2 linked regions of the Caenorhabditis elegans genome follow. The protein of the gene in region 2 interacts with the protein of the main gene of each other region in a pairwise test. Each region holds a gene or a part of one and is shown on either strand. Other genes may lie near its edges. The genes, in order: tax-6 and rcan-1.

Region 1 (17,019 bases), on a different chromosome or scaffold from region 2:
CAACATGAAAAGGCGCTCCACTGCCAATCAGAAACGCTCCGCCCCCGATCCATGGGTCTCGTTAGGTATTTGGCGCAGAGGTGTACATTCAAACCTTCAAGCCGAAAAATGCTTGAAAATGGAGAAATCGGCAAAATTAACTGAAAGTATTTGGATTAACAGTCTTCTTGCCAATTACCTAATGAGACCCATAGATCGGGGGGCGGAGCGTTTTCAATTGTCCGTGGAGCGCGTTTTCACATCGGTTTCAATCGGCTTTTTTAAGTGCCAAAAAATAAGTTTATAATTAAAAAAAAATTAAATTACAGATGTGGAGAGAATATATGGTAACAGTAGTTTCATTTGTAACACAAGAAGGACTCAATTCTAAACATGAATGGATGAAAAATGAAGATGAAGACATGAGGATTCAATTAAGAAAAGCTGCAGCAAAAGATCTTCGGAGCATGTGGTTCCGATTGACACGTGAATAATTTCAATTAAATCCCAAAAAATGATCAAATTTATTTCAGCCTCTCAGAAATTGAACTACATTCCGAGTATGATTGGATCATTCCTCAAAGTATCACTAGTAGATGATGATGAAACTCGTGAAGCCACTATTCCAATATTTTTCGATATGATGCAGACTGAATACAACACGAGTGCCAGTAGATCTTTCACGGAATTCGCTTCTGAACTTGTATCACAGCTTGATACAAATGTTGATCAACATAGTGCGACAAAAGGATTCAAAGAGCATTTTCGTCAATTATCAATTACTCTGTGTCAATCCGATAAAGAATTAATGGCGAATGGTGGAGAAGAATTGATTGAACGAATTGATCGTTTATTAACTGCTCTCATTGAATATCATGAAGTCGCATCGAAAAGTCTCGTGGAATGTGTGGATAGTCTTATGAGTAGAACTGTTCAGTTGATGGTAAGTTTTTCGAAATTAATTTTAAATCAAAAAAAAATTTGACAAAATGTTTTATCTATTCGAAGCAAGGATGTCATCAAAAATATTGTGGTTTTTTCAAAAAAAAATTTTTTAAAATTGAAAAACGGAAAATTTTGATTTTCTGCAATATCGAAAAGAATTTTTAGAAAATTAACATTAAAAAATCAATTAGAAAGAAAAATCAAATTTCGTTTACATTGATGAGAAAAAACATAAAATGAGGAAAAATGATCAAAATGTTGTTATTTTCAGAATTATCGGAAAAATTGAATCCCGACCCCCTTGATTCGAAGTTTTACCGTAATCAAGAGTGTCGTCGAAAAAAAAAAAAGATTATAAAACTAAAAATTATCAAAAAAAAATGTTGATATTGAAGAGAGGAATATCTTTCAAAATGGAGCAGTAATCGAAAATTATTGAAAAATTCGTTTTTTTGCCGAAAAAAGAAGTAAATTTTTATTTTCCAATTTTAAAAATCGAAAAATCGGCTATAGCCATTATAAATTTATAGGTCAATTGAGAAAAAAGAAAACATTGAAATATCAATACAGCAAAAAATTTATTAAAAAATCTTAATTGTTCTCTTCTTTTCTTGAGTTTGGTATTTATTGAATAAGTATTGTTTATATTCAGAGATACTATAATCAATATTCTCATAAGGAATTGTATGTCAAATACATCTACAAGCTATATGATCTACACACATCGTATGGAAATAAGATTGAAGCTGCCAAAACTTTACTTCGACATGCCACAATGCTTACGGTAAATGTTTCTTCAATCAGTATCCTTTTAAAGATTATGTATTCCAGTTTGACGATGATGCTCTTCCACAATGGCTCATTGCTCGATCTCTTAACAGACATCGTGAGCTGCATCGTCAATTAAAAGAAGATTTAATGGAAGAAGCTGGTAATTTATTTTCAAAAGGAGAAGATTGGGAGGACGCACTGATTGTTTACAATCAACTTGTTCCAGTATATCAGAATATCATTATGGACTACGATAAATTGGCAGGATTATTGGTAAGTTTAAGGAAACTCCGTTATAGTCTAAATCATAATTTCAGCAAAAAATTGCCCAGTTGTATACAAGCATCAGTCGGACGGAACGTGCATATTTCTATTACTACCTGGTGGCCTTCTACGGACAAGGATTCCCTGCTTATTTGAACGGGCACAAGTTTGTGTTCCGAAGTGAAAAACTCGAAATGCACGGAGAATTCATGCAGCGAATCATGAAGATGTACGATAATCCGGAAAAGATCATGAAAACAGATCCTTGTCCTCACCTTGTCGACTCCCCCGGCCGTTACATTCAAGTTTTCAATATTGATCCAATCGGTACCGGATGCTCATTTGAAAATAATCCTGAAGTGAAACCGGTTATCAAAAAATATTTCAGATATTATAATGTAAGTTCCACTATTCTATTGCAAATATTGTATGTTGACTATTTTCAGATTCAAACATTTGAATATTCAAAAGTTGAAGAAAGAAAAGATACAAAGTGGACAAGTATAGATCCTTCATCTGAATTCATGAGGAATTGGCTTGTTCGACGGAGAATCAAGACTGCTGACAGTCTGCCAACTGATTTACGATTCACGGAAATCGTCGAGCTATCCGACCCAATTTATGTAACTCCATTACAAAATGCAGTTGAACAAATGAGAAAAAAGAATAAAGAACTCAATGAAACGGCTGCCAGTGCTGAGAGCAATCCTAATTTCGATTTGAAACTTCTGAGCAGAGATATTCTTGGAGTCGTCAGTGCAGCTGTGATGGGTGGAGTCAAAAATTACGAAGTATTCTTCACGGAAGCGTGTAGAAATATATGCGAGTGCGGTGAGCAGTCTGTGATCATGGAATTGAGCTCGTTGATAATCGAACAAGTTGAAATTTTGGAATATTGCTGTTATGTTCATGCTAGTCGTTGTCAAGGAGAAGCAAGAGCAATTAATACAATGTTGGCAGATTCATTTGACAGTCATCGTAGATATGTTGAGGAAAACTTTGGAAAAACAAGATCCAGGTTGCCAACACATGCTAATATTCGACTATCATCGTTTGATTCGGATTCGATCAATGATGGAATGATGACAATGAAGTCAGGAAAAGCTGCAGTACTTGGAAACGCTGTGGCTAACCTAATTTATTCGAACAAACGATCTAGTGGACCTGGAACTCCTGTCAACTTGTCGTAAGTTTTCAAAATTCACAAATGACAATCTAGTTTTTTCTTTTTTTTTTTCAGAAGTCGTTCAGCCCCTTCATTCGATAACATTTCATCTAAACTTCGGAGTTCTCTGGCAATTTCCAAGCTTGCACCCCCACCGCGACCTCCAAATCCCATATCTCCAATTAACCGTGGACCATCTTCAAATTATGAAGGAATCCGTATGAGAGCTCATTCACATCAGGCTTCAACAGTCTCTCTTAATCATATGTCAGTTGCTCCACCACTTCCACCTCGTCCAGATCGTCCTGATATGGATCCAAATCGAACATTGAAGCGAAAAAATTAATTTTTGTTTTAATTAAATTTTGAATATCTTCACAAATTTCCAGAGTCATAATCAAAAAACGCATGATAATCTAATTCTAATTCATTAATTGCATTTCTATTTTATCATTTTCTCAAAATTCCCTTTCCCCTGCTGGTTTTATCTGTGCTCTTTTACTAGTCACTCACTCACTTCAAAATGTTTTAATTGTTTCCTTTTTCAAAATTCTTTTCCTTCCTGTGAATATGTTACAAGTTAATAGGAATTATTTTCAGAGCTTCATTTTCCATATAAAGAAATCTCCAAAAGATTATCAAAGAAAAGGGGAATATCATACGTTAAATGATTCTTTCAGCAAAAAAAAAAACGAGAAAAAAGATTTGAGACAGAGAGGGAGAGAGAAGGAGAAAAAGAACAAAAAAACATGAATTTAAATTAGAATCTTATAGACAAGACAATATATATTTATATTTATGTATATACTTTTATAATTTCGGATGAAGTTGATTAGCTTAAAAAAAGAAGAAAACGAGATGATGGATCGGAGGAAAACACTTTGGGATGAAAACTTGGAAAAAACATTTAAAATGAACAAATGTGGAATAAAATAACACTGTTTGCTTGAATGAAATGAAATGGCAAAAAAAAGAAAGAATGGGTCTCAACTGGAAAAAATCATCTATGGGTTACGGTAGATGATAAGGCTAGGGCACACTTGTGAGGGAAAATAAAGACAGAAATCATAGAAGTTTGGGGCATTTTTTAAAAAAAGGGGCGGGGCGACTAAGAAACACGCAACGAGACTGAGAACGGATCCAATCACAAATCGATAATTTATAGGGAGAAAAAGAAAAAAAAGATGCGGAGTTGTGTTTAGAAAAGAGAAAAAGCAAATATGTTCCATTAAACTTGAAAAGCAATGAAACACATTTACATAATAAGAAACCGGGGGATTAAAGAGAAATTATACGAATAGAAGATAAAAGTTTCAGAGGTTTATAGACTTCCAAACGTATGAACAAGAAAAGACTATAAATCTAAGGTAAGAAAGATGTGAATGGATTTTGATGGATTTGTCATGCGCAAATGCACTATGGCAAATAGTTTTCGGAGATGGAAATTTGCATCTAGCTGGTTGAAAGTTTTTAGATAAAAAAAATAATTAAAAGAAGAAGAAGATTACGTATTCAAGCGTGTTAGTTTCCAAACTCTAACGACTTTTGAAGATGATATGCCATATGAACTATGACTATTAGCTATTTGATGGACCATTTTGTGGTGGTTGAGGTGTCGTTTGTCGTGACGGAATTGGTGATTGACTTGGTGATTGTGCTGGTGGTGTTGCCATTGTTGGTGGCATTCTTTCATTAATCTTATCGAGACGGCGAGCTTCTTCGAATGATTGAATAAGATGTCCCGAATCGCATCCGGATTCTGCTGCCACTGAAATTCAAATATTATAATTAGGTATTTTTATTTCCAATCATTTTATATGGGATCCAAGGTTTAGTTTCGAAAAATATTGCATTTATTAGCATAAACTGTTGGGTATACATGATGGTATTTAAGTTTACTATAATCTCGCAACTTTCGAAATTAATACTTTAAAGTCGCACGTGGCTATTTGAATGGGTCTCGTCACAAAAAAGAAAAAAAATCGAATGCAGATGCTTAGATTTTTCTTCATTCCTGGTTGTCTAATCAAATTTGTTTTTTTTTAGCAACTTTAAAGTTGTAATTTTGAAAAGAAAAATAATTAAAAACATTTTCGAAAACGAAAACGTCGGTGTTGCCCCAAAAGCAATGTTCTTTCAGTTAAAAAAACCATACTTTTGTAGAATCAGATGTTTTAAACATTTGCAGACCATAGATAATTTAGATAATTTTTATTATTCAGACCTGACTGTTCAATTCTATAAGCCGCATTCAATCCTGTCCGTCCTTCCGAAAGAGCCCCTTGTGGCAGCTTGCCACCTGCATTCAGGCCCTTCAACTGCAGCACTGACTCGCTTTCATGTCTGTTAAAAAGCGTGGTACTACGTTTTTCTCTTTCCTTTTTTCTATTGAATTATTGTTTTTTCGTAGAAAATATCATTTGATTCGAAAGTTAACTCGGTAAGTATAGTTGCATTTCGATTAGAGAAAAGTACACACACTTTTTGACGGACTTTAAACGATTTTGGACGGATCAGGATCGAAGAGACATCAGGACAAACATTACCTTCTCGGACACCACGTGATCCACCTTGAAGTGTTCCCATTGGAAGTGCACCGGTTGGTGTAAGTCCTTTCAGTGCGAGAACACTTTCGCTCTCCTCGCTGAAAATATGAAAAACCACATAAAGAGTTATGAACTTTGAAAAAAAAATAATCAAAAATGATTAATTAACAAAAATTGTCAAAATCATGCTTTAAGTATGTTGTTTTTTTATAGAAACATTAAATTAAGATATATGTTATCAAAAATAAATAAAAGTTAACTAAAAAAAATGCTCATTCTATAATAGAAAAAAACTTTCTATTTAAATTCATACAAATTCGGTTTAAAATTGAAAAAAATTAATCAACTTACCGAAGAACTGAGAATGCTCTTGCCATCTTTCCAATTGCTCGAATCTTGTGTCGAATAACCTCTTTTCTTGCAGACCCCACTCCACCTGAAAAATTAATTTTTAAAAAAGAACCGTCAACATTTACAAATGACATGGCAACAACTTCAAAAGGGGTGACACCATTCACTGGCAACCACATTACCAATCAATAGAAATCCCCGAATGAAGTTAGAAAAATGTCAAAAATAAAATGAAAGCCATGTACATATATATTGGCTAATAGGTGAAAAATTACTACTTGTAAATAGTGTGAATATGGGGAGGGCAAAGGGGGTAAAAATTTGGGATTTTGCAATGTGCCAACCGTCACCGAAAATGATAGAGGTTGAGTTAGAGGAAACGGGTCCCATTGGGATTTGAAGGGATTACGGTAGTTTTTGTTGTAAATAGTTTTAAAGAAGTTTTATGCTCTTGGAAAAGAAAATTTATTTGTCTAGTTAATTTAACTACAATTTTTTATACAAAAAACTAAACTTGTTCGATTGTTAACATTTTCTTATTTCGTTCCAAGATTATGTTCCGTAAGAATAGCCAAAAAACTCATAGTTTAAAAAATCTTCTTGTCGAGTAAACATCAATTCTACTTTTACAATTTCATAATAATTTTTCAAATATACCGTAATATACTAATAAAATATAAAGTAACCTTTTTGAGAAAATATTATGTATAGAAAAAATATACACTTCAAGGTCTTTTCTCACAGGTTTGGGGAAATTTCCACTTTCTCATTTCTTATACCGTACCCCTAAAAATCCCAATAAAGACACCCATTTCTTCCAATTAGTAACTAATTTTTAGGGTGGGGAATCAAAACCAAGTGAGAGAATTTTGAATTTTAGACTGCTCGAATTCTTTCATTTTCTTCGATTTTTTGACTTTCTATTTTTTTTCAATGTTTAAAATTGGAATTTTCAGAATTTTTGAAAAGAGACCAAAACACAGGAGAAGACCAGGTTGGAAATCCGACATAAAACATGCAAAACACAAGGCGTTAAAAGTTTAGCAGCACACAGCCAAATGAAACAACTAAAACAATTATAATTAGAAAAAAGCAACGTATTTTTTTTTAGAAAAACGGAACAAAAAAGATAAGCAGAGCAGCCACATAAAAGTCAAATAAATAGAAAGCCGTATTCAGAGAGAAAAATAAAACAAACTAAGAAATGGTGTATAAGCGCCAAACGCCCGAGGTGGGTGTTGTTTAGGGTGTTCCGAAGAAAGTTTGGTAAAAAATTAAAGAAAAAATAAAACTAAATCTGATAGTCAAACATACGTCACCAGTGTGTGGTGGGTAGGGGAATATCCACTTACCATCTGCTCCTTAAAATTTTGATTAGACTTTTTCATTATTTTTTTGTAGCTAGTTTTGAGATTAATGTTTAGATCTTTACTGAGATTTTAACATTTAACTTTTTTAAAGGCGCGTGCGGTTAAGGAAAAAACGGACGGCTTGAAAACACAGTTTCTGACAAATTTGTCAAAATTTTATTGGATTTTCAGAACAAGTTCAAGCCTGCAACACTGGGAAAAGGTAACAAGTTTACCGACATTTCAAGGTTTTAGAACAATAGACAAAAATTAAGGGATGATGATATTCTTACGATGGCATGGTACTTCTGTCATTCAATTCTATTGACAAAATGTCTTCCAAGCCAAACATGGCTCCGGCAAATGAGCTCAAAATTTCTACAAGTAGTGCTCTGCTATGCTCAAGGTCAACAATACATGCGTTTTTTTCTCAATCGACATCATGGTTTGTGTACTAGTGACTAGCATTTCTACATCGTTCGAAAAACTATATTTCAATTTGAAGTGTGAAATCCTACAAAAAATTAAACCTACAAAGTGGCGCTAATCTTTTGAATACTGTACACATAGGGAGCGTATGACTGCTGAGAAATGCTAATTCAGATGAGTACAATAGTTACAGTTTTGAACTGAAGTAATCAATCATGTCAAACTGAAAAAGAGAACACCTATATATTTCAGTCATTCTCAGTCAGAGCACACACGCACACTCACACAGAAATATCAATTCTCATGCCAATACCTTTTTTCGTTTTTCCTTTTCTTTCTCATGGTTTCTTTTTCAGAGAGCTCAATCAAAAAAAGAGTAGCACAACATTCAAACAATGACCAAATATTCAAAAAAAGGGAGAAAAGAAGGAAAGAAAAAGGAAAAAAGAGAAGGAAAGGAAAAGGCAAGAAACTAGAGAGAAAAGAAGTAGAAGAGAGACAGAGAGAGAGAACCGTACCGGACACACAACACCGATTTTTGTGCATTTTTTGAGGTTTTTGAAGGAAAATTGGAAATATTCCTATTTCCCTTTCAAACTCTCAGTGCCTTATTAATTTTCAAACAGTCTCTCTTCTTCTTCTCCTCTCCTTAGTTTATATCACAGTAGGAGAAAAGAGTGATATGAGGTGAATAGGAACAATTTTCTGTTCTTGTTAAGATATACATTTACAAATATATATATAAATTAATCGAGCAAAAAACACATGTATTCCATCTCTTGGGGAGAACGTTTCAATGCGGCTTTTCATTTGCCAATTTGAGCCGAGCACAAGACAAAATCATTGAAAGTGTATAGAGACAAAATTGGCGGTAGAAGATTATTTTAATTTAAAAAAATTATATATACATAAATATTTTTTGTTGTGAAATAATTCATATTAAAGTGACCTAGTTTTTTACGCAGTAGGACCTCCTTTGAGGGAGCCAGTGCTTAATCATGAACATACCTTCAAAGGTGTCATCGCATTCAGCCATCAGCTCGTCGTCAGAACAAATGTTGAGAATGTGAACCAGCATCTCCGTTACTAAAAGGAAATCTCATTTGGTTTTCGACATATTTCTTGCTATACCTTTTTCTCCCACAAACGGCAATGACCACGTGAACACATCCATAAAGTTCGGCAGCCAATATGGATGAGGACTGCAGTTGAATTGACGAATATTCATCACATTGTTCTCGTACTTCAGGATGGCAGCTGAAAATTGTTAAGTTGTTTAATGTTTAATGTTTAATTTTCCGAATTTTGTTTTCTTTTTGTTTCTCCGTCAAAAAATGCCATTCCCATATTTCCTCTCACCTTTGTTGTTGTAGACATCCAAATAATTTGGAGCACTGAAGATGGTGATCAACGATGGGAAGCCTGTGGCTTGAGATTTGCGATACATGCGGTATCTGGAAAATAGAGTAGAATTAGAAAAGAGGATTAAGGTTCTCTTTTCGCATCTCCTGGCGACGGATAAGCTCTTACCCGGCATCTTGAGCTTCATGTGCGCGAATGATGGAGAGCAGATTGTTGTGTTGCAGGAAATCACAGCATGCAGCGTAGCTATAATATTTCGTTCTATTAAAATGAAGATTATAGTGAATGGGATACCTGTAAAAGTATGAGCACCCTCTAACCGAATTGTGACTAAATTGTTCTGAATTCCTTTCGTTTCCGAAATCTTCAAGTGGGTCTGACCAGAGAAGATCACACATTGGACCAAATGCTGGGGGCTCCTTGAATCTGTCTATCTGAAAGTCAACAAATTAAATAGACATTTAAGATATGGTCGTAATTTCGGATTAAAGTTAAACAGTACTTTAAAACATATAAAACAAACATATACCGTAAATTTTCTCTCAGTATTGCACCTAACTATTTCACTTTAAAAACTTCACTCGGTTCATGATACATATCAAAGAAATTAATTGAAAATATATTGAAAAAGAACTAACAAATATTTTGTTAATTGAGAATTTTTTGATAGAACAAACGACAACGGGTACCGTACTAATAGAGAAATACGGTATTTTTCAAAATATTAGTTTTAGATCTCATGTTTTTCACTAACCCTCCTGATATCCTCCAAAGTATGGATTTCTGGGGACAATCCACCATGAACACAAAGGAATTGTTGGTTCATGAGAGCTGCCAACGGTAGAGCATCAAATGACTCCATGCACACATCGTATACCCGTTCAGAGTACTTGATCTTGCATTCTTGTTTGAATGTAAAGTACTCTGTCAAATGACGGCATTCATGGTTTCCTCGAAGCAAGAACAACGTGGTCGGATAGCAGATTTTGAGTGCCCACAGATACAGGACACATTCAATCGAGAAGTATCCTCGATCCACGTAGTCACCCAAAAATAGATACTTGGTAGTTGCGGGCGATCCGCCAACTTCGAATAGTTTCATGAGATCGTAGAATTGACCATGAATGTCTCCGCATACAGTAACCGGCGCCTCGATTTCCAACATCGTTTTTTCGTTGCGGAACAGGCTTGAGCATTCTTGAATCACACGAATCGCGGCTTCTTCTTCTATCCTTCCTTCCTGCAAAATTGTTGATTTGATTATATTCTTAAAAATCTATTCCACACCTTAATAAAATGATCTCGAAGAACTTCATGCCTTGGTTTTCCAGTCCGCCGGTCGTAGACCTGATCAACGGTAAGGCGTTCGGAAACAGGAAATTGAACGGCTGAAAAATGAGAAATTAGAAAAAATATAATGTTTTCATTATTCCATTTTACTTCCGAATTCCTTCATCTTTCTATTCCCTTCTTCTATTTTTTTTTCAATTCTTCTCAAATTCCATGCTCTTCTCACGCTCATCTTCCCCACATGGCGCCCGAGCCGCCGCCGCCCTCCTAAATTACTATGGGAACCCTCTCAAGCGTTTCGGGATTAATTTTCGATTTCAAGCTACAGCAGTCACTCACTCCCCTTCCTTCCCGTCTTCTCTCACACACACGACGACGCCAATGACGGCGACTTCGTCAGAATCTTTTCGAATAGAAAAAGAGAATGACGGAGAGAGAATCAGAGAGAATAAGAACTCTCTATCTCTCGATATATTTTCTATGTGCCTGGTGAGCCGACGCGGAGCCATTGGTGAGCTCCTCAGAGCAACGGACCCGCGTGAGTCAGACAGTGAGAGTTTGCGCTGAGAATAGACGAGAAGAAACTCTCTGCGGCTCTGCAGCTCACGACGACAACGGGACAAGCAAAAAAAAAAATTCTCTGCGCGTATAATTTCTGGCTTCTTCAATGTGTGTGTGCCAATGTGAGGGTGGATGGGGGTGGTTGTGGTGTGCTGCGCAAAAAAAAAGAGAAAAAAAGAGCATGGCGCTTTTCTCCGTAACCTGAAGCAAGAAACACTTTAATTGGTTTTTCTTTTTCAAACTGCCGCCCGACTGCAGAAGCCAAATACTTACTCTTGACAAATCGTTCGGTGAACTGCTTCAAATCACGTTCGCGTTCACGATTGTTGTTCGAGGCGGTGGTGGTAGTGTTGGTAGTGTCAGCTGAAAAAATGGTTCTTTTCATGCATTCCAGATGAGATCCATTTTTCTTTCGCTAGATTTTTTCGGATAGAGACACCTAGAAAAAGGATGAAGCCCCCGACGACTGCGTGTGTGATGATGCACAACAACACTACAAATTCGATTTGTGTCTCTATTTCCTTCTAAAATCATTTTTCGAGGGGGCAAAAGGAGATAGAGGGAAAACAACAACTAATTTTTCGATAACATTTAAAGGTATGTAACGTGAAACGGAAACCAAACTTCAAAATAAATTGATTTGAAAAAATATTGTTCTTTTCCCGTATTTTCCCAATCAAAGAAAATGAAAATTCTAGTTCCTACTAAAATTGAAAATGGACTATTTAACTTTTTGAAATTTATTCAAAAAATGCTCAATGTTTGCTGATTTTAGCGATAGTCTTAAATTGCAAAAAATAAGAATAAAAACAATGGTAGTTTCAGACGAGGATTCAGTAAATACTTACGTTTAGCTGCAGAGTTCTGTCCTGCCGATGTCGAGGCCATTGTGTGTGTTTATATATTTAAAATTGATGATGACTTTTCCTTTTATCGACTGATTTTTTGTTTCACCTGCAATTCAAAATTGTAAGAAAGTGAGGGAAACTCTGGAAATGGTGTGGAGTTGCGCGGAGCCGAGTATCTTGGGGCAGCTGACTTGTATTCTTGAGCTCCTTTTTTTCCTTTTTTCTTCATTTCTCTTCTAGTCTCTCACGCGGCTCTCCTTCTCTCGCGGACACCATGGCGATTCAATTTTTATGACTTTTATGAGAGAGAGGCCAATACCTCATATATTTTCCTTTTTCGGCGCGCGGCGCCACTGACGGATCGGATGTATTTTGTTGGAAAATGAAAACGAACCCTTTTTGTTCAAAAAAATGAGTGAATGAGCTACTCTGGTTTGGTATGAACCCGTAGATGAAGCGGGGAAACGGCTATGTGTGGAGATGATGTAGCTTTGCGAAACAGTACGATACCCTCCTTCGGACCGTTTCACGTCACTTCTCTTCACACCACGGCACGACGGATCGATCTTTCACAGGCCTGCAATCAACATTTTGGTCAATTTTTGTCATACGGAGAGAAAAAGTTCAACATTTACGAATTAAATAACGATTATGAAAGAATAACGTCCCCGAAAAATAAGATGTTCCAATGCAAAGCTTTCCGTTCAATTTAACAAATTGATAGTTAAAAATTTAAATTCAATAAGAAAAAGAAAAGAAGCTTGACCAATCGAATAATTCAGATTGAAGGGAAAACTAGTTGTGCATGCCAAAAGGCGACAACAATGGGCGGGGTTCCTTTGGAAAAGACGAAGAAAAGGAACAATTGAGAATTGGAAGGAGAATCAAGAGAAATTTATTTGAGAAACATTACAACCAATTTATTAGCGAATTTTCTTAAAGCTAAAATGTCATCAAAATATGATTTACATCATTGAGAGAGCAACTATATAATTATTCTAGAGAACAAATTTATTCCGAACGTTTCTTCAAAAATATCTTAAACATCATTCATTTTTGACAACTTTATCAGGAAATTCAGCATCATCTTCAAAAAAAAAACAGTCAATACCACACTTTATTTTTTATTTCGCGAATTATTCAATTCTGACAGTTTCTCTGTCGTTTTGTCAACTGACAAAATAATTGTTCTGTTTCTATCGTTTTATGTATACTAGGTAGTGCAATACAAATAAAAAAAACGATATCAGTTGTAGTACTGTACAACTCTAAGTGTTTGTATTTAAAAATAGAACTTTCAAACAATTTTATAAGTTGAAAATGTCTTCTTCCTAGGAGCGATGTCATTTTCTAACTACTGTTCAACTCATGCTATGTATTGATTAAATCATTTATGAGCAGAACCAAAAACCCACATGACTTTGAAAAAGGGAAAGATCAAAAGTAATGGGCGGTGTGTGTTATCGATAAAAAACCTTTTTTCCCTCTGCGTGAGAGAGATGCTCTTTTTCTCTGCTTCTCTCTATCGATAAGGCACAATGAAAAATGAAAAGAAGCAGCACGGAAATTGGGTAAACATATGTAGCGATGCGACAGAAACGGAGAAAATTAGAGAAATAGACAGTTTCAGTTAAAGCACGTTTCAAATGTTGTCTAAAAATTATAGGTGGAAAATTTAGCAAAACCAGGCTTTCTACTCTCAAAATAAACACAAAAAAAAACAAATTTCAGACAAAAAGAAAAAGTAAAAAAAATCGGAAACTCTATGTATTGTAAAAACAGAACATGAAAATTCTCTAAACGACATAATAGTTCCATTCTTAAATTTTTAGTCATCACTAAGAAAGGCTTGTTGTTGTTGTTTATTCCTTCCAAAAAGATAGGTCCCTCTGGTATAATCATGAAAAGGGACAGAAACAAGGAGTCCAATAGATACTTCATGCATACAAATTTGTTGGTACGATGATGTGTATGCTGGGTAGGAGCTAGAAAGATAAGAGAACGAGTGAAAAGAGAGTGTTGAGATGTCAAAAGAAACAAAGATCCGCAATCCGTCGCGTGGGTCAGAGCAAGGGAAAAGCAACAAAAATCAATCGGTTAGTTAGCTGCGGTGAGTACAAGTATATATGGCTTAAAATATGTGGTTTAAAAAACTTATCTATAAATACCTACAATAAATGCACTTTTAAAAAGATATTCATTACAGGGTAAAATAATATGTGGAATTAATATTTTTCAAATATTATTTGAAAGAAAATGGAAAAAAAAACTACTGTATAATTTTTACATGGCCTTTCGTGAAACCCCTTTGTTTCAAGATTTTTCTGCATCAGAAAATATATTTGCCGAATTAAAATCTGAAAATTTATAGTCACACATCTTAGAAATTTCAAAATTTGTCACTTTTTTCTAATGGAATCAATTTATTTTTATTTATTTCAGTTGGAAGCATTGTAATTCTACAAAACGATTATAATATAATGATTTTTGATATCTTTGATAAATATTAAAAAAAAACTATTCTATGTATTTTGAAACTAGTAAAATATTACAATTAAATAAATAAAAAATGACGTGGATTTTATTCAGAAACGTTGAAGTCAAAAAGAGCGAGAGAGAAGGAGCGCGAACAAGAAGGACGTTGTGGGTGGGATCAGCTCGAGAAGCTTAGCCTGTGCTCGAATCGGAGAATAAGAGAAGGGATAGAAGAAGAGGAGAGAAAGAAGAAGAGAGCAGCTTTCTGCTCGATCGACGACACCAAAAAGAAGCTGCTTCTTCTTCTTCTTCTTCTTCTTCTTCTTCAACTACTCCTGCTGCGTGTTGCTGTGCTGTCGCTGCTATCGGTGTCTGTTGCGGCTGCTGTCCCGGGACCCGAGAGCCGCAAGAACGAAATAGTGTGCTCCGCGATGCGAGCTCGGTTTTCGGGAGAAAAAGACGCACACAGCGGCGGCGGCAGTGGAGAAGGGAGGGAAAAAGATGGAAAAATGAGGGAAATGAGAGAGGATGGAAGTACGTAGAGAGTTGAGACAAGTGTAGCACGGCTCGCAATCGATTGAGCTGTGCTCTGTTGGCTAGGAGAAGGAGGAAAAAAAAGAGAAAATTGAAAAGTGAGAGGAAGAGAAAGAGAAAGCAGTTTCATTTCTCAACACGCGAGGACAACATAGGCATACACACACGCAGAGCCAAGTCAAATGAATATAAACGCTACGTGCTTCTGCTGTGCTGATAAAAAATATCAAGGATTTGATCGGAAGGCAGAAAGAGACGAAAGTAGGCACAGGAAACAGAAGATTGAAGGAGAAGGAGAAGAAGGAGATGGCGGCTGCTTCTGTGTTTTCCAAATGGACGAGATGGAGGGTCACAGACTCAAAAAGAAAACATGACGTACCGATGTGTCAGAAAACAATGTTGGCAATTGTTTCATATTGGGATGTTTTATATACGATGTGCCACGTGTCATTGATAAAAAATCTAGAAAATCTACCGAAACAAGCTTATGCAAACTGTCTTAGCAACCCTACCACATTCTGTGACAACGGATTATAAATTTAATGCTGGTTTTGTAACTGATAGCAATACTATTGGTACTAGTTGTATGTACATATATGTTTTAACCAAAAAAATACATAATAATGTTTTCAGCATTACTTAAAAAAGTAAAATTATTATCAGTTCATTTATTCAAGAAAGAAACAACATTATGTGGAGAGAAATTAGAGTACAGATAATTTTTTCTATACGAACTAGGTTATCCGAAACTTCAAACTTAAAACTTTCAACTTTAAAATTTGGCTTCCAAAACAAATGAGCTTGGGTTTTTGAAGATATCAGCTTTACATTCTAGAAAGCCTGCATCTACTGGGAGCAACATAACAAGTATTTAGCAGAAGAGAGTGCATTTATCATGAAAACAGACAGAGACACGCAAACGTAAGCCTAACTAATTGAGGGTGTAGGTCAACTGGAAGTGACTCTAAATCACAGAGTGCATCATCATCATCATCATGAAAGAAAATAGGGGTTTCAAAGAGAGAGAGAGAGAGAAATGGAAGGCTCTCTTTCACCACCACCACCGCCACTGCTCCGATGTCGTCGTCACTCAAGCTTGAGCCCATTCAAAGACTCATCTCTTTTTCCCGTCGTCGTGTCCTCGTGTCCCTAGATGGCTATACCCTTTAGAAAATAATTAAATGTGAAAAGAGGTCTCCAACGAGATAGTATGGATTTCGATGAGAAGCCGGACACCTATAGGGGGGGGACTCGAACAAAAAAGTCGTTTGCTTGTATGTATGTGTGTGTGCCTTGTTGCTCCACTTCTCCTTCTTTCATTTTGCCGTTTGGATCCAACCAAGGATGGCAATGTAGGAGCAGGAACAGGAGTTTGAGAAGAAGTTGCACACCAAGAAGGGGTTATTTTATGACAAGAACATTGGCCTAGAAAAGGTGAGCTTAATGATTCAGGACCAACTCATATCGAAGTCTAATACTACAGAAGTGAGGTATCGTGAATGGTGAATTCGGTTTAAAAACCGCTAAATACTAACCGACTAAAAGGTTATTTTCAATATTGCCCCATTTACCATATTGAATTCGCTCTAAAACGAAAACTGAGAGATCAATCAGCGATTCGCTCCGCTCAATTTTGAACCAATCAGGCGTGAGCGAGTGTAGATCAAAAAACGGTGATTGGTTTGTATGGAAGCGTGGCTTCTCATTTTAGAGGGAATACCAACCGGGAAAAGGCTAAAATTAAAAATCACCTTTTTAGAAGTTGGGTTTTTGACCTACTCCACGATTGAACTCTGAGATTTAGAAGAGCAAAAGGAACAATTAAGTTGAGTAGTGAGTATAGTTTCTCTGCATTTTTCGAGTATATACATTCTTCTCGAAATTCTGATTAAACAGTTTTGATCACTGAAAAGTGAAGAATCGTAAAGTTTCTAAACCAACTCAAAGTTTGACGAGATGAGTTTTTAGGATTTCTCGTGTAAACAACGAGATTATCGGATCTTTATGACCTTATAAGATTATCTTTTCAGAGAACTAGTAATTTCACCTTTCCTGCTTCTCATTTTGCCAGGAAGGTGTGTATATGTGATTAGAAAAAGAAAAGCGCTCTGAGCGCACTGGCTCACGGGCTCAATGTGCTTCATTCCTTC
Region 2 (13,751 bases):
ATCGGAGTATCAAAAAAATCCAAAAAGAATCGAAATCTTAAGTTGTAAAATGCGATTTTTTGCAGAATTTTTAATGTTACAAAGCAATTATATTTGTCAATTTAAACATTTTCGAAAAAAACCAATCTTTTTTTTCAGTACGGGTCCTGTACGACTATGATGCTGCAAAAGAAGACGAGTTGACACTTCGCGAGAACGCAATTGTCTACGTACTGAAAAAGAACGATGACGACTGGTATGAAGGTGTCTTGGATGGAGTCACTGGGCTTTTCCCTGGAAACTACGTAGTTCCAGTATGATAACAAGAAATGCTAACCCTGCTAAATCAATTGCTTTTAATCTCACTTTTATTCATATTCATATATTGCCTTTTGCCTCGAGTACTTGTATGTGAAAAGCCAAAAATAAACGATGGATATGTAATCATGAAGGAAGCAGTGGTCCCCTCGTTTGCAGCAGTGAGAAGCCTAAAAATAGCCAATACGACTGCTATTTTCGAGTCTCGACGCATTTCCTGAACGCATGTGCTCGTTCTCTCACTGCCCCCGTACTACTCTCTTTTGGTTTTCCTAGGGGCTCGCCTATTTAATGAGATTGCTCATTTTCTCTTCATGCACACACATTCATTCATTTTCTTATATTTTTGTGCCTTCTTATTTCTTTTCCTCTCCTCTCTAGTTTATTTTTTCTTCTATTTTAGAATTTTAAATAATTCATGTTCGGCACGACGAATAGTGACGCCAAAGAGTTTGCAAGGCGTGGGAATTGTATCTTTTTTGGTGGGCGGTGGACACAGATTTTCTTAGAGGAGGAACAAAGGTCAAAAATACAAGCAGAATTCTTGAACAGTTGAAATTCCCGCGCGATTTCCAATAAGATGACTTGGATCGCGGTGGGACCTTAACTATTGCACAGACGCAAAATTTTGTCATTTTTGCGCCAAAATACGGTACTCGGTCTCGACACGACAATTTTTTATTGGATAAAAACGGATGTGCACCTTTAAAGAGTTCAGTACTTTCAAAAATTTGTTGCTGCATGCTGCATGAAAACTCCATGAAAATTTAAAAGCAACGGAAGTTTGAAACTACAGTACTCGTTAAAGGCGCACATCCCTTTTTATTTAGCAAAAAAGTGTCGTGTCGAGACCGCATACCGTATTTTTTTATCTTTTAACTTTAAAATATGAAACTCTGCAGAGTACTCTGCTCATAAAAAGAAACAAAAATTCGCTTTAATTGGAAAATTCGAGAAACATTTCAGTCAGAAAAACAAAACATTGTTTTTTTTTTCGAAAAACACGAGACCTCAATTAAGAAAAGTCGGTTTGTTGTTTTGTTGGTGCTCTTAAACTGCGGTTAATCTTCCATTCAAAAGCATCTAATACAAAAAGTACCAGTAATTATATTTAAATCGGTTCAAATACCTCATGGGACAAATTTGAATTGGCATATTTATTTTTTGATAAACATTTTTTTTCCGACCTTAACTCTTGTATAACAATGAAATCTAATCTTGTTGCTATTAAACACAATTTCTGACGAAAAACTACGGAACCTGGTCTCGACGCGACCGGAAATTTCAGGCATAGAAGAGTGTGTACCTTTAAAGATTACCGTAGTTTCTCAGTTTTTTTTTGCAATTTTTATCCACCCCTTTTTAAAGCTGTTTTTCGAAAAACTAATTTTTCGAAAAGAAAAAATATCGATGATAATTGAACACAATTGCGTAAAACAGAATTTCGCAACTACAGTACTCTTTAAAGGCGCACTCTCTTTTGCGAAACTCTCGGTCGCGTCGAGACCGGGTACCGTTATTTTTTTTGTATTTTCTTGCAACTTGGTAATAATTGCAATCTGAATTGCAAAGAAATTTTGGTGCTCCATACGCGCATTTCAGTATTTTCAATTTTCAAAAGTTCCCTTATTTTTAAACCAAAGCACATTTCATTTCAGTGTTCTTGTGGCTCTTTTTTCTCTATTTTCTATCTTTTCAGAGTGTCCTGTGTCCCTTCTCCCCTCCCCTACCAGGGCGTGACGTCGGTACGCTCCTCTTCTTACGTCTTTCCATATCTCTGTACTCTCTGTACTCTCTCTATCTCTCTCACACACACAACAGAAAGAGCTCACCAACTTGTCTATTCTCTATTTACATATTTCGTCAATCTTTTTCTCTCTTCACAGGGGCGGCTACCGATCCGTTCTTTCGCAAAAAACCCTCGGAAATAGTAAACCCCAGAGTCATCATTGATAGTTATAAATAGACATCTTTATGTGAACTCACCTGTTTTTATTTTATTTTATTTATTGCAAAATCCATTTATCTGGAATGTTCTTTAACAAGAGTTCAAGCATCTTCCTTATTTTTATTTGAAAACCTTCAAGTTGCTTTACTCTTTTTGTTTTCGTTGTTTCAGTGATCGAAAATCAGTTTTAAAGGCTCATTTAAAAAATCTATGGCCGATTTTCTTTCAATATGCCAAAAAAAATTAGTGGCCGAACTTTCTGCTTTTTAGGCCACGTTGCATAAACGAGAACGGTACCTCAATTTATCCCTTGATTTTCAAGTTTTTTGCCAAAAAAAGAAATTAATGAAAAATATTGGTAATAACGGAGAAAAATCACTAAAAGACAGATTATTTAGTATTTAAAAAAATTGGTGGCCGATTGTTCTCTTTTTCTAGGCCACGTCGCAAGTAGCCTTTTTTTCAGAAATATTCAACAATAATTCAACATTCATATTTTCAAGACTATTTCAATAATCTGAATCGAGCAATTTTCCTATTAATAATAATAAAATCTTCAATTCCAGACCGGCCCAAATTTCAAAGAATCCCCACAAATTGAGTTATTCAAAAAAAATCGTTCTGGCGAAAATCTCCTGTTTCTTGGATTTAGTTTTTTATTCTTCCTTTCTGGAAATCCGTTTCTAAGAAAATGAAAATTCGATTTAAAAAAGAATTTAAAGCATTTTGATTTCATTTTCAAAACCTTTTAGACTTTTAGATTCACTAAAAAGTTGACAACTAGCAAAATAAAAACAAATTTAATTCTGAGGAATATGCTCTCAGAAACATGATAAATTGTCAACTAACCAGATATTGCAAAAGATCAGATCAAAATCACACAGTTTAAAATTCACCACCAATTTTCCTTATCAATCACAATTTTTATCAATTCATTTTCACCAAAAAAGTCTGACATTTTTGTAGAATTTTTCCGTTTTTCCGTGTTAACAAGATCAACTTCACTGACACCAATAAATTCCGGTAAATGATCAAAAATTAGCGCTGAGAATCAAGAAAATTTTAATCGTATTGTAAATTTGAGTACCTACGACAATGACTGAGTATTTACGTCAAAATGTGAACAAACTAGACTGCCTGTAAACATTTCTCTGTCTGTGTGCTTTTTGATACAGATACTTTATTTTTCAGTTTTGGTGTTGATTTATGAGATTAATAGATGATACTGTATGGATTTTTCTGTTAAAAATTTTTAGATCAAAGTTGCAACTTTTTTTTCCAAATAAAACTGTTATTACGTTCTTTAATTTCCCGGAATAAATGAAAATTCCAACATTTGCATATTTTTATCAAAATTTTGTGGATAATTTTTTATCCGAAGAAAAAACAATTTCCAAAAAAGAGGAAACGCCAACAAAATGGATAGGTTTTATTTTATAAAAATTGAAAGACCACACCGGCAATATCGCCGACATTTATTTCTATAAAAGAATTTTTAAAGTTTTAAAATGTCTTGTTTTCCGGCTGTTGGTGTTGCCCTCCAGCTGTCCAATGCTCATTGAGTTTTTTCTTGGCTCCACGAGCTCAAAGATGAGCTTCAGAGTTCTTCATCGGAATGTGTTTTTTTTTTGCCTGGCGTTTTCTAAGAGCTTCTTTACCAAACCAATACTATGATCCTTTTTATTTCATTTTTGTGTTTGTGTTGACACTTTCGAACAAACCCCCCCCCCCCTTTCCCAATGGTATTTGGGAGAAAAAAGAACCGATTGAAAAAAAAAGTGAACTGCGTCATGAGGTTATGAGTACCTCCTCTTCTTCAACGCCCTTTGTTTCTCCCATCCTTTTGCTCTTTGTGAATTTTTTTCCCCTAAAAATATGTATTGTGTAAAAACTTTTCTTGAGGGAAATCCCTTCACCTATGTATCTTAATTCATACAGAGAATAGCTTTTAAAATGATCTTCGTGTTCTGTCTTGAACTTTTAGTCTCTAGTAACAATTTATCAAAACTTTGACTGCAATTTTTGAAATCAAAACATTTTTAGAGTATCTCTAACTATCATAAGTGCATTTAAATTAATTTCTTACTCACGAGCACCTTTAGGCTTAATTCAAGATCCAATAGAAATTGTTCATTAACAAAATAAGCGTTCACACATTTTTTTAACTGTGATAGGTTCCGTGCATTTTGCAACAAAAAACAGCAGATCGGATAGTACTTGTGATTTTGATTTTTTAGTTTTGAACGAAAAAATCAAATCAGCAGATCAAATAAACTATTTTAGATCAAGGACATTGATCAAATATTTGCGAAATACTTTTGTAAATTGACCGAATTACACAACAAAAATTGTTTACTAAATCAGTATTATTTTTTACGGTAACTTTAGTTTCGAAAATAACTCTTGATAAATCTTCCGGAACAGTACCTTAACTCCTGTTTTTTTTTCAAAAATCAAAACAAATTTCAAAAACATTTCATAGAATTCCAGAGCTACAAAACAGTGATAATGTGTCAAATTCAACACCTCCTTGTTTCGTTTCTCTCGTGTTTTTTTCTTCTTCTTTTACTGCTCCGCGAGCATCAAAATATCTGTGTAAATGCACGTGTTTTCCTACTTCTCTCACTCGTGGTTCATTTCATCTCCTATTTTTGTCATAAGGTTCTGTTTTTAGACATGTTTTTTCTTGAGTTTAGAATCGATTCTCTATCAATTTCAATTTCGCTCTAAAGATAAAAATTTGAATTTCTAGTTACAAAATGTTGTTGCAGTTGTCCATTTTTTAAAACGAAAGGCTTCTCCAAGGGAATCGTGGTCCACAAGTGAAGTGTGATTCCCAAAACTGAGCGTTTTGTACTCTTTTCGAACAATCTCCATACGTCTTATGTGAATGGATGTCATTCCTAAACCTCTGACCGATTTTCATTCCACTCGGCTGCTCGCAGAGTTCAGAGGCTTAACCTCTTGATCGTTTTTCTTTTTTTAGTCTTGCTGTTTCTCCCAGCTCGAATTGTATTCAAATTTCTGATGAAACTGCGTCAGCGCTCTGCTGCGCCTGGGGGAGATTATGGAAATTTTTGTGGGCTTTTTTTCGCTTTTTGAATTTTGGTGCGTCTAATATCAGAGTATTGTCTCATATTTTACGAATTTCTAGTCCTTGGTTTCTCGGAATTTTAAACCAATTTGGTGAATTTAAGAAAAGTTGCCGTATCTTTTCAAAAGCACACACTGATTTTCTAAAAATTTTGATCGTGGTAGGACCCTTTCTGCATCAAAAATAGATGTATCTTTGCAATTATAATTTCTGCCATTTCGTGTTCCATCCCTCCACGTCACACAGAAATAATCCAATGTTCAGTTTCACCGACCACGTGAACAAACATTGACATCATTTCTGTCCGCTTCCCGGTCCAGTTTTTGATGGTTTCCGTGCGGATCAGAAGAAGAGAACACATTGTATCTGAATATATATATATTGGCACGAGGCAGGCCACCCCATTCTGCACGAATCTTTTGTCGTTTATTGTAGGTCTCGCCACGATTCAAGTTATTTTTGAAGCTAATTATTAAGAGAATACCCTAAAAGGTTCATTTTTACAAGATTTCATAATAATTCTCAATTATTGAGAATAATTTTCGAAATGTTGAATCAAAAATTGGATTATTTCGTTATTATAAGAACTTTTCGTCTCTAGGAACTTGGAAGCATAAGAAAAACAGCAAATTTCCCGCCTCAAAAATTCCAAGAGTTTTTGTTCAAAATTCTATATTCAGAACGGGGGGACTAAAAGATTTGTTGTTTTTGTCGAAAAACCGAACAATAAATGTTTTTTCTTTTGCTTTAAACCACCCACACTCATGCACCATGAGTCATTTGTTCCAAAAATTTGAAATTCCCTTGATGGCCATGGCTACTGGTTTACTGGAAAATCTATCTTATTCAGTCTACGTCTCACTTTCCTTCTGCTTTTTTTATGGATATTTCTTCTCGAGACCACTGTTCTTTCTTCCTTTCTCTTGACCATCTTCATCATCACCGTCATCACGTTGTGTTTTCAGAGTTTTCAAGCTCCAGAATCCATGTGATTTTTTTTTCGTCTAAATTGTGCCCTCCGGCACCCGATTTCCGTTTTGAAACGCCCACACCATGAAAAGAAGATAGAAAAAATGAATCTTTTTTTCAGGCTTCAGTTCTTCTTTTTCTCCCAAACTCGGTGGTTGCTGAAATTTTTTCTATAAGTTAACAACAAAAAATGGTGGCTGATAACTCGGAAAAATCAACGAAATCCGTTGCCAATGGATCATTGATCAGCACTGTTTCCAGTAAAGATGATCTTCCAAATGCAATTATTGTGACTCAAGTACCAGAAGATGTAAGCTTTTGATTTCAAATTGGCTCTACTTTTAACTTTTATTTATAGGTATTCGATAATAAACAAGACAAGGCAAACTTCTCATCTCTATTCACACAAATCGAGAAAGACATTCATTTCGATTTCCTGCGCAGCTTCCGACGAGTTCGAGTAATTTTCAGGTGAGTCAGAGGAAACCGCCAATTTTCAATAACTTTTGTTTTGTTTCCAGCTCCCCCGAAAACGCTACAGCCGCCAAACTTATCGTTCAAGGATTCTCTTTTAAAGGGCACGAGTTGAAAGCTTTTTTTGCACAAAGGATCTACATGAGTGCCAATTCCCAAATGCTTTCCCCCCCACCACTCGAAAAACAGTTTTTAATTTCACCACCATGTTCTCCACCAGTCGGATGGGAGCAGACTAAAGATATGCCACCGGTTGTATGCAATTTTGATTTAATGGCCAGACTTGCGTCATTTGCTATCGATGAAAAGTAAGTTTATATGACGTTTATCAAAAGTTGAAAAATGTGAAAAAAGGGGTCTATAAGTTTGGAGTTTTGCAAGCCTGGAATACTGTTTCTACTTTGTATCACACAGCGCTTATTACGGGAACACCACATTTTGAGAATGCGTTTTGCGCAACATATGCAAAATATCTCGTAGCGAAAACTACAGTATTTTTTTTTAAATGACTACTGTAGCACTTGTGTCGATTTACGAGCTCGATTTTTGAAATTAATTCCTTTTCGAATAGTGTGTCGTATAATAACGTCGTATTCTTATTTTGCTCAATTTTAATATTCTTTCATTAAATCAATGATTTTAGTTAGTTTTAAAATCGAGCCAGTAAATCGACACAAGCACTATAGTAGTCATTTAAAGAATTACTGTAGTTTTCGCTACGAGATATTTTGAATAGTTGTGCAAAACGCATTCCCAAAATTATATGTTCTTGTAATAGTTGCTACATGCTCAATTTTTTTATTATTATTCATATCTCTGTAAAGTTTGACATCTGAAGCAACCACTATGACGTAGATCTTGGCGAGACCCACTCAGAAGAAGCGTGTGCCTTTAAACTGAAGTGCCAGAATTTCGCGAAAGTACAATAAACTAAATATTGAAATATTTTAATCAATTTTTTTCAAATCCAAAATTCAGATATGAAGTACACAATGGAGACGAGCTGACACCAGCAATCATTGTTCATCCATGCGAGACCCCAATTGACGTACCATCAGCAATTGAAATGCCACGAACTCCACGCCCTTCATCTCCATGTGAACAGTAATTATCTTGGATATCCCTTTCCTTCTCATTCTTCTTGTTATTCATTTTTCTCTTCCAGCTTTACAATCATCCTCATTCTATTTGTGTTGCACTCCTTCTTCTCCAATTTTTTCATTTTTTCCTTGTTTCAACTTCAATCCGCAGAGCTTATTCTGCCGCGGGTAGACGTGTCTCTTCCTAATCCAACAATCCACTTATTTTTGCTGATATTTTGTTTTTGTAAATATATCCCAAAAATTGTTTACCACCCAATACTTACTATATATTCCTTTTTATGGAATGAATCTTCAAAATGAAAAAAAAAGAAAATAATGCAAATAAATTATTTGTATTTAAAAGAACTGACAATATCACATGAAAAGAAGGAAAAAGCAAGTATAATATACCCGAGCCCTGATAAAAAGTTATTCGTTAATATTTAAGTTCTAAACCGTCATTGGATCCTTCCTAGCAACAGATACATCATGATATCCCATTGCTCTCGCCACGAATCTTCTTATCATATTATCCCAAGACGTCTTGTTCTTGCTGTACAAATTCAAATAAATTGCCAGCATCACCACAGATCCCGCATAAACATATTCGATGGTGAACGGCTTCGAGAAGAGCATGAACGACAGAATTATAGTCAGTGCCTTGCGAAGAGTTGTCACAGTAACCGCAACAAGTGCTCCAAACACTTTGATATGAGTGAGCACAACGTTGACACCGAGATATCCAAGACATGAGAGGATCAGTGCGTAGCCGAATGTTTTCCACGAGTTCTCCAGGAAAAATGGAATTGCACTGAAGACTTCACCGGAGAGCACGACAAATGCGAAAATGAACACTGAGCCAATTCCATATGAGTAGAGAACCATTTCATTACTAGATCCACCGTACTTCTTCATATTCTTTTCTTGAATATTTCCAATTACAGCATCTGCCAGAAGAGCTCCACAAATCATGATGTATCCTCGAGAATCGAAATTTGGGGATACTTTATTATCGGCCAATGTGAACATGATAATTCCTGGAAATAAAATATTTAATTAATTTTTTAAAATCCAAAATCCTCACCTAAACTCATTAACATCGCCGCACCAATATCAATCCATCCATATCGTTTTCCTTGGATCAGAATCCCTCCAATGAGCACTGGAATTAGCTTGCAGCACTTGAAAATCACTTGAGTTGGATAATTTAAATATCCAACGGATGCATTCGAAAGTCCCATTGTTGCTACTGTGAAAAAGGCAATTACACCGTAGATTCTCCAAGGGATCCTGGAAAAATTAAATATTTTTTAATTCTGAATTTTGTACTATTTGTACTACATATACGCGAAATATTGCGATTGTTGCATCAAAACCGGTCTCAACACGGCAATTTTTGTGGAAAATGGTGTGCGCCTTTGAAGATTACTGTAGTTTCAAACTTTCGCACCTTAGTTCCTGTGGAATTTTTATCGACTTTACAGTTTTTCCCTTTTTTTAATTTGTTTAATTTTTTTGTTTTAAATTTTGAATAAATGTATTTATTTTATTAATAAACAAAATCGAGAAAAAATCCGTAGCAACAAAAGTTTGAAGTTACAGTACTCTTTAAAGGCACACATCAGATTTCATTAAACAAAAAAGCGTGTCGAGACCTATTTACTGACGCACAAATCGCGAAATTTGAATAATAATTGAAAACTCACATTCGTTTCGTGTTATGCCAAATAATACATTCCGTATATCCACATCCGCTATAAATCAGGAATTGAATAAGTGTTAACGTCCATCCAAATGGTTTCATTCCAGGTAGTTTGAATATTAATTCCTGAAATATTTTTTTTCTTCCAAACATTTTTTTATGTAAACTTCTAATCTCACCTGCATATACCCGTATCCTATGTACAAAATAAATATTGCTAAAGAAAGAAGAACAAATTGAAGCCATTTTGGTCTGAAAATCATGAATTCACAAATTAAATCGGCTCGAGATTTCATAATGTATTCTCGATTTTATCGCTTTTGAAATTCCGCTTTAAAATTGAAAATTAAAACTCACTTTCTGGCAATATTAAACCCTAACAGATGAATTGGTTCTACATCCTCTTTGACATGACGTGGCAGCATATGAACACTACAATCAGAATGTATTTGAGCTGCAGTCATTTGAAAGAGTGGGTGGAAAGTGCGCAAATAAAGGGAAATTGAGATCTAAATCAGATAGGCATTTGTTCAGATTGTCCATTGGGGAAAGCCTGAACCGCGACTACGTTCACGGCTTTTGAAAAGGGGGTATCGATCTTTTTGCGCGTTGGCAATAGTTTCTGCGCTACGTCTCTCTATGCATACGTTATTCATACCGAAATAAAAATTCACCGGCGTGATATATTGCAGAACCTTTCCTATACTTTCTGCTCCCGAAAATATTATCCCAACAACTTGTGAATGTGTACCATTTTGTAATTAAAGACGAACAAATAGGGAACAATAACAATTTATTGGAACAACGAACAGATTAGTTCTTGGAGGCAAAGTAGTCGGTGAGGATGGCACGTCCTTGCTCCTCATTTCCCCAGTTGGTGACAACGGCGGATGAGCATCCAACGACCTTGCGGGCCTTTCCTTCCTTATCGTACTTGCAGAGTCCGCAGTACTCTCCGATGATCTTCTTATCGGCGACCTTAATGAGTGGAATCTGGTGCTCGGCGCAGAGGGTCTCGACAAGCTTGACGTATTGTGGCTCGTCGCAGTTCTCGGCGAGGACACAGAAGTGAGCCTCACGCCTGAAAATTGTTTGTAAAATCTTTGGAACACATACAGCATGATACCAGTACACGTGTGGCAGAGTAACAACTTATCTACCAGCTTATTGGGGTCACATCGATTCTAGAACCGGCGACGTTGAAAAATAAGTGGAACTAAAATACAAACTAAAATATCAATTACTTACTTGTCAAGAGCCTTGCAGGTCTCGTGGAGTCCCTTGGCGAGTCCATCAGCGTGGTGGGCAGCGCGAAGAACAGCTCTCAAAGCTCCTTCCTTGTCCATTGGTCCCTGGGCGACGGCGGCTGGGGCCACTTGAACATCTCTAAAATTATCCAATATTTTAATAGCCTTCATAAAAACTTAATTTTGCTTTTAAGACAAGGAATCTAATTGTTCGAACAACTTTGGAACCGATACAGCTTCAAGGCCAGTACCCGTGTGGCAGTAGAACGGTTTTTATTGCACACTACGATAGGAAAACTATGACTTCAAAATCTTCCGATATAATTGGTAGGTGCAAGATTTTTCAGAAAAAAACAAAAATAACCTACCCTCCTGCGTCAGACATTGTTGTTTGCAGCAAGAGTCCTTGATGCTTACCTGAAAATTAGAAATTTCGACTCGTTAATATTGTTTTCACAAAATATATTTCAAGATTTGAGAAAAAGAAAAAAAGAAAAGAAAAAATTGGGAAAATCAACGGAAAAGAGGGAAGCATGAAATGTTTCTGTATCACTCCGCAGCATGTCTTTGAGTCGCGGCACAGTGAAATGTGCTATAGAGCGCGCTTGCCATTTGTCGATTTACGGAGACTTGCACGCGGGAAGCTTTGAATTTCAACAGTTTTCTGTATTTTCTCAGTCTTCATCAAACATTCATTAGCATTTTTCAGGCAAATAAAGGAGTCAAATGGCTAACGAAACGCTGGAACATGTTCTTATTTACTTTTTGGAGAAGCTAAAAGACGTTCGATGCAACCAATCTCCAGAATTACTTCAAAAGCTGACACTCTCACAGTACAAGGCAAGTTGTCGAGCTTTCAGTCCATTTAAATTATTTACATGAATTTCAGACTCTTGCACAATTGGATGTGGACATGCGAATGAGACTGACGCAGGAAATGGAGAGCTATGTGGCGGATCATGTAGAAATTATGAAACTCGAGCTGCAATTGAAGAACAAGAAATGTGCGCTCGCTGGAAAACTGAAACAGTTGGGGACAACGTTTGATAAAGCTATTGTGGAGACTAAAGGTGAGTTGCAATAATTTTTTCACGAAAAAATAGAAAAATTCAGAACGAAACGAGCATTTGCGGATTGGCAGCATTGATTTTCTGAATCCCGTGGTTGAGAAAGTGGAAAAAATAGTTTTTGCAAAGCCAGAAATGCCACAAATATCAGTCGAACAAGGATCAGTTCTCGGTGAATCTGCGAGACGTCAACCGGAGCTTGTCTCTGTAATGGCTTCCATAATGAAACCACCAACATTTTCATCATTGGTGATGACAGGAAGGACTGAAAAGAAAGAAAATATTCCGGAGACCAAAAGCTACAGTCTTGATGATTCTTTGATAAACGGACATGGTAAATTGAATTAGTTTGTCTTTGCAATAAAAACATGCCATTTCAGACATATCAATGGTGAATACATCCAACGAACGACGAAAACTGGCTTTTGATGAGTTGGACGATGAAGAACTGCAAACTCCAGCAAGAAAACCACAAAGAACTCCATCCAGAGCTCCAGAACGGAATCCTCTTGATCTATTTTCCCTACAAGCACCGCCCGTCTTCACATCTTCAGTTGGTCGAGCATTCAATCAGACAAGGGATTGATTTTCTGAATTTTTGATACTAAATATTATTTTATTTATCTGTACAAATGTGGATATGAATACAATTTTCTGAAAATGAAATCAAATGAATTTGAAAATCCAACCAGTTTTCAACTGTGAATATTTTTAGAATTTTCGCATGTTCTAGTCAACGTTTTAGACAAAGTTTCAGCAATGGAAGAAGAGGAATGTTTATCACATTCATCACCATCAACCGATAATTCTCTTGAACTTCGACTGCAACGAGTGACTGCGGAAAACATAAAAACAGTTCGAATCCTCGTTTCAAGCATATTTCCGGTGTCGTACAGCGACAAATTTTATCAAGAATGTATGAATAACGAATTAACAGGAGTTGTAATACGAAACGGCGAGGCAATCGCCATAGTTGCTGTAAAGCCCGAGAATTTCGAAACAGGACGCGTACTTTATATAAGAAGCTTTGGAGGTTTGTAAATTTTTGAGAAATTAAGATTTTTTCATTTAAAATTCAAGAAAAATGTTATAAAATTAAGTTTTCTAAAAATTCTAAAATATGGTCTCAAAGTTCAGAAAAAAGTCTGGTTTTAAAACAAAAATCAAAAATTAAAAAATTAAGATTTAAATTGATTTTCACTAAAGTCGTTTTTTAGAAGATCTTCCATTTTTTTCAGTTAAAATTTTTTCGAAGCTATTTTCTAATTAAAAGTGTCATTTTAACCTCAAAAATTTGTAGAAAAAGTAACATTTTGATAAAAAGTAAATTTTGCAAAATCTAAAAAATATTTTTCAAAATATGATTAATCAATACTTTAAAAAGATCTATTTCGTATTCTCAAAAAAAATTTCTTGATACATTTTTCAAAAAGAAACAAAAAAGTGTTGAAAAATCTACTGAAATAATTGGAAAAAACCAAAAATAAATTTAAAAAACATTTTTTACAGTGTTTTCCCACTTTATTTTAATTCTTTAATTGAAGATTGAACTTTCTTTCCATTTTTCTCTAAAACTGCGGACAATTTTCTGATTTCTAAAATATAACTTTTAATTTTTAGAAATTGAAAACAAAATTTGCAAAAATTTATTTTTTCCAGTTCATCCCCGTCACCGCGAAGCTGGTCTCGGCTCATTTCTGATGGATTTCGTCGACGAAAAGGGAAAATTATTGAAATTGCCTCACGCGATGCTCCATGTGCAGACTTCCAACAAAACTGCGATCGAATTCTACAAGAACCGCGGCTTCAACGTGGATTGTCTCGTTCCACAATACTATCAACGATGCAGTCCTCCTGATGCGTTTATCATG

Evidence for each region.
Region 1: the proteins of rcan-1 (region 2) and tax-6 interact in binary tests that used the Caenorhabditis elegans proteins (3 or more experiments, as listed by UniProt).

What each region holds. Positions count from the first base shown.
Region 1 is NC_003282.8:10,489,161-10,506,179, forward strand, and holds tax-6 (Serine/threonine-protein phosphatase 2B catalytic subunit), read right to left. Parts: upstream 11,901-17,019; coding exon 11,861-11,900; intron 11,376-11,860; coding exon 11,286-11,375; intron 11,038-11,285; exon of another isoform or gene 10,759-11,037; intron 10,550-10,758; coding exon 10,449-10,549; intron 10,402-10,448; coding exon 9,916-10,401; intron 9,596-9,915; coding exon 9,456-9,595; intron 9,408-9,455; coding exon 9,330-9,407; intron 9,254-9,329; coding exon 9,159-9,253; intron 9,057-9,158; coding exon 8,931-9,056; intron 8,886-8,930; coding exon 8,808-8,885; intron 7,383-8,807; coding exon 7,374-7,382; intron 6,107-7,373; coding exon 6,022-6,106; intron 5,769-6,021; coding exon of another isoform or gene 5,671-5,768; intron 5,468-5,670; coding exon 5,349-5,467; intron 4,893-5,348; coding exon 4,702-4,892; downstream 1-4,701. Other genes in the region: ced-5 (Dedicator of cytokinesis protein 1), read left to right, coding at 309-465, 513-922, 1,577-1,708, 1,756-1,968, 2,013-2,357, 2,406-3,145, 3,200-3,470. UniProt on the Caenorhabditis elegans protein: Calcium-dependent, calmodulin-stimulated protein phosphatase. Dephosphorylates arrd-17. Dephosphorylates daf-16 at 'Ser-319' which regulates daf-16 nuclear translocation. Dephosphorylates calcium permeable cation channel pkd-2 at 'Ser-534'.
Region 2 is NC_003281.10:5,676,777-5,690,527, reverse strand, and holds rcan-1 (Calcipressin-like protein), read left to right. Parts: upstream 1-6,429; 5' UTR 6,430-6,498; coding exon 6,499-6,618; intron 6,619-6,666; coding exon 6,667-6,779; intron 6,780-6,829; coding exon 6,830-7,090; intron 7,091-7,760; coding exon 7,761-7,890; 3' UTR 7,891-8,226; downstream 8,227-13,751. Other genes in the region: abi-1 (SH3 domain-containing protein), read left to right, coding at 139-299; pst-2 (Adenosine 3'-phospho 5'-phosphosulfate transporter 2), read right to left, coding at 8,315-8,901, 8,949-9,154, 9,571-9,692, 9,746-9,818, 9,924-10,030; rps-12 (Small ribosomal subunit protein eS12), read right to left, coding at 10,380-10,647, 10,815-10,952, 11,182-11,198; ska-3 (Spindle and Kinetochore-Associated protein homolog), read left to right, coding at 11,540-11,653, 11,703-11,883, 11,927-12,214, 12,261-12,466; F54E7.9 (N-terminal methionine N(alpha)-acetyltransferase NatE), read left to right, coding at 12,640-12,913, 13,540-13,751. UniProt on the Caenorhabditis elegans protein: Inhibits tax-6/calcineurin A phosphatase activity and thereby negatively regulates calcineurin-mediated functions.